Oryctolagus cuniculus: one gene and its partners. The protein of the gene in region 3 purifies or fractionates together with the protein of the main gene of each other region. This does not show direct contact. Links are inferred from orthologs where the notes say so. Each region holds a gene or a part of one and is shown on either strand. Other genes may lie near its edges.

Region 1 (3,648 bases), on a different chromosome or scaffold from region 3:
TGTTAATACACAAAATACAAAAATAGTTCAGAAAGTTGTGGAGGGGTGGATGTTTGGCCTAGTGGTTAAGACACTCATGTCCCATAAAGCAGTACCTGAGTTGGAGCCCCAGCTCTTTGCCTAATTCCAGCTTCTTCCTGATGCAGACTCTGGGAGGCAGCAGTGATGGCTCAGGTAGTTCCTGCCACCCACATGAAAGGCCGCTCCTGTCTTCAGCTTGGCCCAGTTCTGGCCACTGTGGGGAGTGAACCAGTGGATGGGACCTCTCTCTTCTGTCTCTATCACCATCTTCCTCCCTTTCTCTAGCTCTTTGTCTCTCTGTCTGCTTCTCAAAGAAAAAAAATTAAAAGTTCCTGAAAAATTGTATGAAAAGATAAGTGTATTCTGGTATAAAATATTTTAAAGCCATCCATCCATACAAAAGGTCTTAAAAAGTTCATGGAGAATTTATATTATGAAAAAAGCTATGCTTGAATTTAAAAATTTTTTTTCAGCAAAAAACTTAACTTTTAGTTCCATTTTTCCCTGGACTTTTTAAAATACCCATGTATATTACTTTTTACAGTGAATGCCCCCCCCCCCTTTGTAATATAATCATGGGAAAAATGTGAATGCCCTTACTATTTAAAAATGTTTTAAGAAACGATTACCTTAAGAGATAGGGTATGATTAGAAGCATGGACTTTGCAAGTAGTCTGCTTTGTTTGGAACTGTGGTCCTGCCATGTATTAGTTATGTGACCTTGGACCTGCCACCTGGTCTGTAAAATGGAGATAACAGTACCTACCTCACAAGGTTGCCGTGAAGATTAGGTGAATATGTAAAAGTTTTTAGAGCATTGCTTGGTATGTAATAAGTGCTGTAAAGTATTTGCTCTAATTCCTATCATTGTTAGGCTTTATTCTGCTGACCCGGGCTTTCATACACTGGTAATCCTTAAGGGACTGCTCCAAGCATTGGTGTCATGCTGCTGCGTGAGTATGCGTGCACCTCGTGATTAGGTGTTTGACTAATTAAACAGGCAAAAACAGGGATGTACTTCTTCACATATATATCTTTTTTTAAAAAAATTATTATTTGAAAGGCAGAGTTATAGAGAGGCAGAGAGAGAGAAAGATGTCTTCCATCTGCTGGTTTACCCCCTAAATGGCTGCAATGGCTGGAGTTGGGCCCATCCGAGCCAGGAGCCAGGAGCTTCTGGGTCTCCCACGCAGGTGCAGGGGCCCAAGGGCTTGGGCCATCTTCTACTGCTTTCCCAGGCCATATCAGAGAGCTGGATGGGAAATGGAGCAGCCGGGACTCAAACTGGTGCCCATATGGGATTCCAACCCTGCAGGCGGCAGCTTTATCCACTATGCCACAGCATTAGCCCCTATATTAATTTCACACACCTCGAGAGATCAGAGTGTTTGATTGCAGTCAGCTACAAAGAGATGGCAGCTATGTGTTTGCTATGTGTTAAGGTATCTGAATGGAGATAGCACTGGAAAACAGGCCAGGGTCGGGTTACCTAGAACAAGGAGCTGTCTTCATTGGGATCAGACGGCAGCCGCACACCAGCCCTGAAGGCTGTGGTTGTTCTTCAGGGGTTGTGCTTTACAAGGCCTCGATTTCAGCAGATGTAATTCTGTAACTACCGCAGTCGGGCTCACAAGTGCTGACATTATAAACCTTACTCTGGGTCTCTTCTTCCCTACTCCGCTCTCTCTTTACCTCTCAAACTTCAGAATTTGAGTCATTTAAATATGTGTTTGCCTCATTCCTGTTTGTGCTCCCCAGGGAGTCCTGTGAGCTCTTGGTCTCTCTGAGGGATGGCTTGTCTGGGAAGGGGCAGCTCCAGGTCCAGCCAGTGGCCAGAGCCCTGGTTGGCTGAGGTCCCCAAAGACAGTGAAGCTGATGTTGTTTATGCACTTCTTAGGTAGTTAGAAACAAACCTGTGGCAAGGCAGGCTCCCGGCAAACGGAAGTGCAACTGTCGGCAAGAGATGCGGACCACCCAGCTGGGCCCAGGGCGCTTCCAGATGACCCAGGAGGTGGTCTGCGATGAGTGCCCTAACGTCAAGTAAGTGAAGCATCTTCTTGGTTCCGCCAAGAAACACTCGAGTAATCGCTTTTGTCTAATGAGGCGTCAGTGGTCCATCCCCAGCTCTTCCTCCCTCCCCTTACCATGTTCTACCGAAGGATAGAGCAGGAATGGACATTTTAACTTTTTCCAGAAGTGTTTCTTCAGAATATGCGTATCTTTAATGTTTCTGAAACAGTAAGCAGTGCTGTCTATGTCTGAGTAGACTTACCAAGTGCTGAGGTTTCATTTTCTTCCTGCTTGCATAGCAGAGCAGTCTTATGTGTTTGTGTACTATATAGTAGTTCTGCCCTAAGTTTGGACATTTAGAAGGTGTAAGTGGATTTCAGAGGTCTTTGCAGAGGAGAGGTACACTGTAGTCTTCCAAGAAAAAGTCCTGATAACATAGATAACACTTTAATTATCTGTATCTTGGGTTTTCATTTGTATCTTCATTTTGTTTTTCTTCTTAAATTCTCTTTGTCTTAGACTAGTGAATGAAGAACGAACTCTGGAAGTAGAAATAGAACCTGGAGTGAGAGATGGCATGGAGTACCCCTTTATTGGAGAAGGTGGGATATTGATACTGATGTTTTATGATCATAACTTTCTGCTCTCCACTTACGAATATTTGTCTCACCCCATATCCTAATGGCCTCGTAGTGAATGCATATAAAATTCACCACACATGGAGAATCTTTTCTGACCATCACGGTTAGTCACCTGAGGCGGTGTCATTACTATTTGTCCTTCAAATATCATGCCCAAAAGTTACTATCAGGTGGCCTCAATTTCACCAGAATTTAAAGTGTCCAGACCTTTATGGATTAATTTTAACTTGACAGTGAAAGAAGATTCGCTGCCAGACTGTACCTTTGGGCTCAAATTTAAAACTCTAAAAGGATAAAAGCTTTCAGACTTCAGGTTCAGGGCATCAATGAATCATTCTTTGTTTGAGAAATAGGTCAAGTTATTTATTACCATGCCTGAGGCACAAAGTGATCTTATCTTCACTAGTAATCTGAAACGCTGTAACCAGGCAGAGACACTTCCTTCACAGATAAACTTGACAGAATCAATGCCAAGGTGGTGGCTTAAAAGAATTCTCTCAGCTGCCAAATAGATTTGTGGTATTCGACTTGTGTGACTTACGGTATGCTGTCATCTGTTCTGACTAGGCGAGCCTCATGTGGACGGGGAGCCTGGAGACTTACGGTTCCGAATCAAGGTTGTCAAGTAAGTGACCTAGTTCCAGAGGCTTCTCTAGCCCCTGCTTTCCGCAGGCATCAGAGCATCCAGTGTTCTTCTCTGTTCCGTGCCCTGAACTAGTCTTTGTAACTCTTGAACAGTACTGAAAATGTGGGGTTGGACCCCAGGATTGAGCCCCCTTTATTATTTACTTAGGACTTACAAGTCCAAAAGATGTCTTAAGGAAAAAAATTGATAGAACAAGTAAGGACTTGTAAAAGAGAAGCAAACAAGAATAAAAGTCAAGGAGAACTGAAATTTTAGCTGAGGATCTCTGGCACCGTGAAAGAATGGGGGACTTTTCCCTAAGCACAAAGTACTGCTTCCTGGGCCTCGGGC
Region 2 (3,421 bases), on a different chromosome or scaffold from region 3:
GGTCCCTGCTAATGCACCTGGGAAAGCAGCAGAAGCTGGCCCAAGTCCTTGGGTCTCTGCACCCACATGGCAGGCCTGAGTTCCAGGCTCCTGGCTTCAGCACGGCCCAGCTCTAGTCATTGTAGAGAGAGAGAACCAGCAGATGAAAGATCTATCTCTGTCTTCCTCTCTTTCTCCATAACTTTGCCTTTCAAATTTTTTTTGAGAAGTTTTTTTTTTTTTTTGAGAGAGAGAGATCGATCTTCTGGTCTTCCATCCAACTGTTTCACTCCCCAAATGGCTACAATGGCCAGGGCTGGGCTGGGCTGCAGCCAGGAGCTTCTTCCGAGTCTTCCACATGGGTGGCAGGGGCCCAAGCAATTGGGCCATCTTCTACTGCTTCCCCGGGTGCATTTGGGGAGTGAGCCAGCGGATGGAAGCTCTCTCTCAAATGGCTGCAACAGCCGAAGCTGGGCTAACCCGAAGCCGGGAGCCTGGAGCTTCCTTCAGGTCTCTCCCGTGGGTGGCAGGAACCCCGATCACTTGGGCCATCTTCTGCTGTTTTCGCAGGGGCACCAGCAGGAAGTGAAGTAGCTGGAACTGAGCCCACATGGGAAGCCAGCGTCCCAGGCGGCAGCTTAACCCACTGCGCCACAACGCCAGCCCCTGGCTGATTTATTTAAAACGAACTTTTCTCCTTGCTTTGCAAGGGGCCCTTGTGCCTTGCCTAGTCAGTGTTTGGGGTGGTGTAGCCCAGAGCCAGATCCCCTGAGGCCCCCAGCCTGGAACGAACTCCATCAACCTAAGGATGCTCCTGGAAATGGATAAGCAAACGGGGTATAAGCTCTGCTCCCTTTAAGCCGACGCGCGGTCACCCAGGCTCGCTTGTCACTCCCCGTGGCCTGTGCTGTCCCTTAGGCAGCTCTGGGGCCCCCTGGTGAGAGCCTGCACCATAGCTCCGTGCTGCCCTCTGCTGTCCCAGGGGCCAAATGTCACAGTGGCCAGGGAACTTCAGAAAGCCCTGGTGCCTTGGGGATCTGTGTGCTCCGGGACCCCGCAACCCCAAGACCCTGCAGCCGCCGGCGCACAGTCTGAGCGCAGAGACCCTAGCGTCCGAGATCCAGGAACACGCAGGGGCCTGAACCGGGTGCACCGGGGGAATGGGCGGCAGCGGGACTCGGCGCTCTTATCCACACGCGTTTCCCATTGGCGAGTGCTCGGAAGCGTGGACCAATCAAAAGCGTCCTCGTGTCTCCAGCCCCCTCCCAGACGCCTCGCTCCCAAGCCGAAGGGGCGGGTCCCCGCCCCTGCGACCCAATGGCGTCGCAGAGGGAGAGCCGCGCAGGCCGGCGATTGGCCGTTGTGGGGCGGGGCGCTGTCAGAGCCGGATTGGCCCCGCGGCGAGGACGGAAGCGGCCGGTGGGACCCGAGCGCCTCAAGCCCGGCCGCGGTGATGTGGAGCGCGGGCCGCGGCGGCGGCGGCGGCGCTGCGGGGCCGGTGCTGCTGGGGCTGCTGCTGGCCCTTTTAGGGCCGGCCGGCGTGGCTGCCAAGACCGGCGCGGGGTTCGTGACGTGCGGGTCGGTGCTGAAGCTCTTCAACACGCACCACAGGGTGCGGCTGCACTCGCACGACATCAAATACGGATCCGGTGCGCGGGGCTGGCGGGGGGCCGGGGGGCGTGTGGGCCGTTGTGTGTGTGTGGGGGGGAGGTGGGGTCCCGGGCGATCGGGGGCCGACCAGGGGCCCCGAGAGCTCCGCGCCTGACGAGAGACGCCGCGGCGGGCCCCGGTGTCGCTCCTCAGGCAGCGGCCAGCAGTCGGTGACCGGCGTGGACGCTTCGGACGACGCCAACAGCTACTGGCGGATCCGCGGCGGCGCGGACGACGGGTGCCCGCGCGGGGCCCCGGTGCGCTGCGGGCAGGCGGTGCGGCTCACGCACGTGCTCACCGGCAAGAACCTGCACACGCACCACTTCCCGTCGCCGCTGTCCAACAACCAGGTGGGTGCGCCCCCTTTTCCCTGACCCCCACCTGCCGGGCTCTGAGCTTCAGCTTCTGCGAAACGGGAATTTCGATTCAAGGGGGCGGGGGTGGAAAAAACGCGCGCCGAGCGCCCCCTCTCGGGACTTAGCGGTACTGCAGGGGGTCCCGCCTCCGGCGGGGGGGGGGGCGCTCCCGGGAGGGGGCGGTCTGCACGTCCGGGGTCGCTCCTCTTGTAGGCGCTGGTGGGAGCCCACAAGCAGAGGGAGCAGGAGCTCCAGGCTCGGGCTGGCCAGGAGGAGCAGGCAGCAGAGGCGGAGAGAGAGGGAGCTGGTGCCCAGGCTGGAAGACGGTGGCATCTGGGGGGTGGTGCTCCAGGAAGGTGCTTAGGGGTTAAGACTGATAAAGACCCTGCGGGATTGGGGAGAGGGGTTCAGCCTTGGACGGGGGTGGGGAGCACGTGAAGAAGCCAGCCTTAGCTCCCTGGGTGCGAGTGCCCCTGCCGGCCGAGTGGCCCTTGGCGGTGACCACTGTGCACACACACGCAGGAGGTGAGCGCTTTTGGGGAGGACGGCGAGGGGGACGACCTGGACCTGTGGACGGTGCGCTGCTCCGGGCAGCACTGGGAGCGCGAGGCCGCGGTGCGTTTCCAGCACGTGGGGACCTCCGTGTTCCTGTCGGTCACCGGCGAGCAGTACGGGAACCCGATCCGGGGCCAGCACGAGGTGCACGGCATGGCCAGCGCCAACACGCACAACACCTGGAAGGCCATGGAGGGCGTCTTCATCAAGCCGGGGGCGGAACCCGCTGGGGCTCACGACGAACTCTGAGTGCGGTGGGCGGCCAGGGAGGGCCAGAGACTTTGGGGTGTGGAGGGAGTTCCCCAAGTGCCTTTGTGATTAAAGAATGCCCGTCCGTGGTTGTGTTCGGCCCTGAGCCTGGGGGTGACCAGGAGGCTCCAGCAAGCACTGGGATTTCTTCCTCGATGCGGAGAGGCCAACCTGGCCTGGCTGAATGTATCCACAGCATCACCCGCCCTTTCTTCCTCCCTCCTTTCCTTCACCCTCCTCCCTCTCCCGCGCCTTCTCTTTCTTTCCTTGGTGAGACGGGAGAGAGAGAAGTCTCCCATCCCGCCAGTTCACTCCCCAAAGTGGCTGCAACAGCTGAGACTGGGCCAGGCTCCTGGCACTCCATCTGGGTCTCCCACATGGGTGGCAGGGGCCCAGGTACCACAGCCAGCCCCTGAGTGTGGAGCAGAAGCAGAATTAGATCCCAAACACTCTGATATGGGATGCGGGCATCCCACACAGCATCTTTTTTTTTTTTTTTCTTGAAGATTTATAGAGAGCAGAGACAGAGACCATCCATCTGCTGGTTCACTGCCACCACCCCCCCCCAAATGGCCACAACAGCCAGGACTGGGCCAGGCTGAAGCCAGGACCCAGGAATTCCTTCCAGGTCT
Region 3 (4,234 bases):
GGTGACAGGAATCCAATTACTTGAGCCATCACTGCTTCTCCCCTTGGGTCTACATTAACAGGAAGCTGGAGCCAGGAGCCAGAGCTGGGAATTGAACCCAGATACTCTTTTATGAGAGGTAGGTGTCTTAAATGCTAAACATTCGATCCAGCCCTGAGTCTGTGAGACTGGGACAAACTGGTGCCTGAACGCCTGCATTCATGACCAAGGTGACCTTTCCTGTCTTCTGGTGCCCACGCATGTCTCAAGGATAAATCAGAAGTTCCATTACCAGCAGGACACAGCAAGGATAATTTACATGGTAATAAGAAATGATTTATACCTGAACAGTGTACCCATAGTTTATTTTGACAGACTTATCTTTGAAAAAAAAAAACACACACACACACATTCAACAAAAGGGACAGATAAGTATACTGGAGACACACAGCTTGGAACTCATTGCTGTGGCTCTACAAAGTCTCAGGTTAATTATTCACAGATAATTCAGAATTGTTAAAAATGTATATCTTACAAATATATGTCAAACGTGGTTTTCCGGTTCTATATTCCTTTTCAGGTAATCTGACAAACTCGTATCAAAGATAGTCTTTGCAACATAGGAGAACTCCTAATTTCAAATAGAAAACATACATAATTGTGCTGTTTCTTTCTAGCTGACTATGGGACGTAGAAAGTGAGTGTTTAAACAGGATGAAGAGAATGGAAGGGGTGGAAGAGAGGAGGGCAGTGGGGGAAACACTCCCCATCACACACACACACACACACGCACACTGGCATTCACACAAACGCATTCACACTCACATACTCATACACATGTTCACACACACATTCTCACACTCACGTACGCTCATATATTCTCACTCTCATGCTCCCACACACTCACACACTCTTGCACGTGCATTCACACACACACACACACACACACACACACCGCACACTCCATCTCAACAGTCATAGTCATCCCAACGTCACCGGTCCTTTATAATAACTACAGCTGAGAGTAGACACAGGAAAATCGGTAGGGAACTGAAATCTGGACCCCAGGATACTCCAGAGGAGTCAAGGCCACCCGCTCAACTCCGGAGCCCAGAGCCTGTGGGAAGGGCTGAGGAGAAGCCTGGAGGGGGCTGCCCAGCCTTCCAGGGCGGCGGGCAGACCCTTGTGGGAGGCTCGCCAGGCAGCCGGCACTCCCCAAGCCCCCGGCCCCGCGGGGAAGCATCCCTGCAGCCGGCGGGCCGCGGCGCGAGGCACACAGAGCCCCCGCCTCTCCTGCGCGCGGACCCCGCGCCTCCTCCGGCAGCCGCGGTGGCGGCGGCGGCAGAGCCTCGCCCACTCCAATCCCCACCCTCTCTCCAAGCTTAGCCATTAAAGCGCAGCGGCGCCCCGCGCGTTGCTGGAGGACCCCGGGCGCGGAGGAGGACAGGGAGACGGCGCAGGGGGACTGAAAAGGCAGCATGCGACCGCCGGGAGCAGCTTCGGCGCCCACCGTCTGAGGCTGCAGCCCCAGTTCGCCTTTGTGAGCGGCCGCCTGGGAAGCCCGCCAGTCCCGCGGTGCCCCACTCCCGGGTTCCCGTTCGCTCTGCGATGGGGCACCTGCCCACCAGGGCGCGCGGCCGCCGCCGCCTGCTGCCTCTGCTCTGGCTCTTTGTGCTGCTCAAGGTAGGGGAGCGCCCCAACCCCCAGCCTCGTGTCCGGTCTCAGCCGCGCTCGGGCGCCCAGACTCTGCCGTGCGGGAGCGACGCGCCCGGGGCGCGATGGCCGCGCAGCTGGGCGCGCGCTTTGTTGTCCCTCGGTGTGAGGGTTCCAGGGATCTGGAGGGAAGGGTTGGGTAGAAGAACAAGGGAAGTTTGCTCCCTCTGGCTTTTTTCGCCTAAGCTGAAACCCTCATCAAAGGTGGGCTTGGTGGGTAGAGCTTTTTCTAGCAAAATGAGGTCACTTTCCCTTGTGTCCCCTACTGCGACCCACCGCTGCCAGTTAACCTCCCGCCCTCCCCCACCGAAGTGTGCTGCTGCTTTGTCTTAATTTACCTAACGCTGGATTCACACTCGGGCGCTGAGCCCCCAGCCACTGTCGGACCGCGGGGGTGGGTGGAGGGCAGGATTTTCTGTAACGAGTTGGAGTGTCAGGTGGAGCCTGGAGTGGACTCCTCTCCACAAGTCTCATCTCCACCCTGAGAATTCCTTTTAAAAAGTCTCTGGACTTTCTTCACTATATTTACAGAGGATGCTACCTATAACTGTAGTGGTGGAGAAATATAGAATTCACTTTTCCCCATCTTCTTTGGAATGCGCTTCCTTGGGGTTTTACTTTGAGACAAATGACATTTGCTTTTTGAAATTCCTAGTTTGGCGGCCATGAGTTTCTTGAAGACTTTTAGCTAGATGTTTTGCAAGGTGGCGTGGAGTTTTGAAGTGATCCTCTATCCCTTGGGTCCTCAGTGGATCTACTTTAGGTCTCCTCAGTCCATCTTTTCTCTTCTCCGCAAATAAAACCGGGGAACGTCGACAGGTGACGGGGAGCTATCCTTTCAGCACCACACTGATACCTACACTAGAATGGGTGAAACGCTACGGGTGCAAACGTTTCCTTAGCAAAGAATCACCTCTTGCTTACGTAGCATCCATGATGAATGTTTGACCAAGGATACAGTGGAACAGCACCAGTGGCTTAAGAACAGCATTAATTTTAAGTAATCCACATTTTCATTTATCTTAATAGAAAATGGAAAGAAATAATATCAGGGAGAAACAGGAACAGAGTTCATAAGTAAAGTTCTAAATTTGACTTAGTATCCTTTACATTTTCTTAAGATTTTAATGGTTGTTTTATTTTAAAATCTGTTAAGTAATGAGCTTAGCCATGTATTTTCACTGCAGGGAGTTGTTTTTACTGCACACCACAATGTGTAAGGCCTATTGAGTTCTCCACTATTCTTGCTCTGGTTTTCAAATTTTGTCACAGCTGAATGTATCTATGCAATGCTTCTTATGGACCTAAGTGTGAAATGAATTCACTGCATATTCTACTGCGTATCTAGTACTTACATATATGACATCTGCCTTGAACCTAACCACTGACACAACTTTAGGCTTTGACTTGAATTCTTCATAACGGATGCGAATTCCAAAAGTGAGAGAATGATTAGTTTGATCATGGAAGTAGTTTTCTGTAATTAAAATGTGGCATAATGTTGACTCAAAATTCACTATAGGGTTGAGAAAATGTAGTTAGTGGTGGTGTAGTGGCAATAATAGTTCACCCTGTTTCACGCACTAGGTATATTCCTGAACATTTGTCTGTAAATGACAATTATGGTAATTGCATCACTTAGTATTTACATTGACAAAGCTTGCCACTTAAAGCAATTTTGTAAGGAACATCATTAATTTTCATTTTATGTAAATGCAATATTTGTATCACCTGAATAAAAATATGCAAGAAGAAGGAAGAGAATATATCTATATATCTATTTCTATATCTGTATCTGTAACTATATAATCTCATGTGTGTGTATATGACTCTACTATGGGCCAGCTTTCCAGGGATTTCACATGTTATTTCATTTAATCCTATTTTGTTGCAGTTGACAAGAGATGTTCAAAGTAGTGTGTTGGGACAGTGGTCTGATGTCTTACATTTAGGTGATAGGATATTATATGGTGCATTGGGCACATGGTATAATCTATTATAATTTGAAAATGCCTTTGAATTTAAGGTCCTAATTAAGTGCCAGGAAAATATATATGACTATGCAGGCAGTTACAGGAATCTAAAAACAAAATTCAATTATTAAATACCAAATTTCCAACAGGATCTCAATGATAAAAATCTAAAAAACTCCATGTGTGATGAGTCAGGATTAAATAATCCCTTTCTCTTCCCCCCCAAAAAACTTAGTTTTCCCTATGGCCAATACATTTTTGTTGTCCTCTGTGAGTATCCTCCATATAAAAGTGAAAATCTCTAAGAATTATAAGTCAGAGAAATTTAACTATGAGGCAGGATTTATAGTTTTACATTTTACACAACTCATGAACAAGTAACTGGATACAAATGGTGGGATATGGGAAAAGTTTGAGTCTGTATGAATGGCTATAGCAAATTTCATTAAATGCAACTGGTCATGGAAATGTTTGTGCACTCCTGGTTTAGTGATGAACACATTTAATCAAACATGTCAGAGTGTCTAAATAATCTATTGTACATTGTGATAATATCTGCATAAGTGATG

Evidence for each region.
Region 1: the proteins of PTPRO (region 3) and DNAJB11 purify together in Homo sapiens (affinity purification with mass spectrometry; 3 studies listed by BioGRID and IntAct, with this or other methods). This does not show direct contact. The link is inferred for Oryctolagus cuniculus from reciprocal best matches to the Homo sapiens genes PTPRO and DNAJB11.
Region 2: the proteins of PTPRO (region 3) and SDF2L1 purify together in Homo sapiens (affinity purification with mass spectrometry; 3 studies listed by BioGRID and IntAct, with this or other methods). This does not show direct contact. The link is inferred for Oryctolagus cuniculus from reciprocal best matches to the Homo sapiens genes PTPRO and SDF2L1.

The regions. Positions count from the first base shown.
Region 1 is NC_091435.1:96,300,489-96,304,136, forward strand, and holds part of DNAJB11 (dnaJ homolog subfamily B member 11), read left to right. Parts: intron 1-1,918; coding exon 1,919-2,061; intron 2,062-2,550; coding exon 2,551-2,633; intron 2,634-3,239; coding exon 3,240-3,297; intron 3,298-3,648. UniProt on the Homo sapiens protein: As a co-chaperone for HSPA5 it is required for proper folding, trafficking or degradation of proteins.
Region 2 is NC_091452.1:29,148,182-29,151,602, reverse strand, and holds SDF2L1 (stromal cell-derived factor 2-like protein 1), read left to right. Parts: upstream 1-1,365; 5' UTR 1,366-1,432; coding exon 1,433-1,628; intron 1,629-1,782; coding exon 1,783-1,979; intron 1,980-2,507; coding exon 2,508-2,789; 3' UTR 2,790-2,878; downstream 2,879-3,421.
Region 3 is NC_091440.1:113,146,844-113,151,077, forward strand, and holds the start of PTPRO (receptor-type tyrosine-protein phosphatase O isoform 1 precursor), read left to right. Parts: upstream 1-1,409; 5' UTR 1,410-1,587; coding exon 1,588-1,662; intron 1,663-4,234.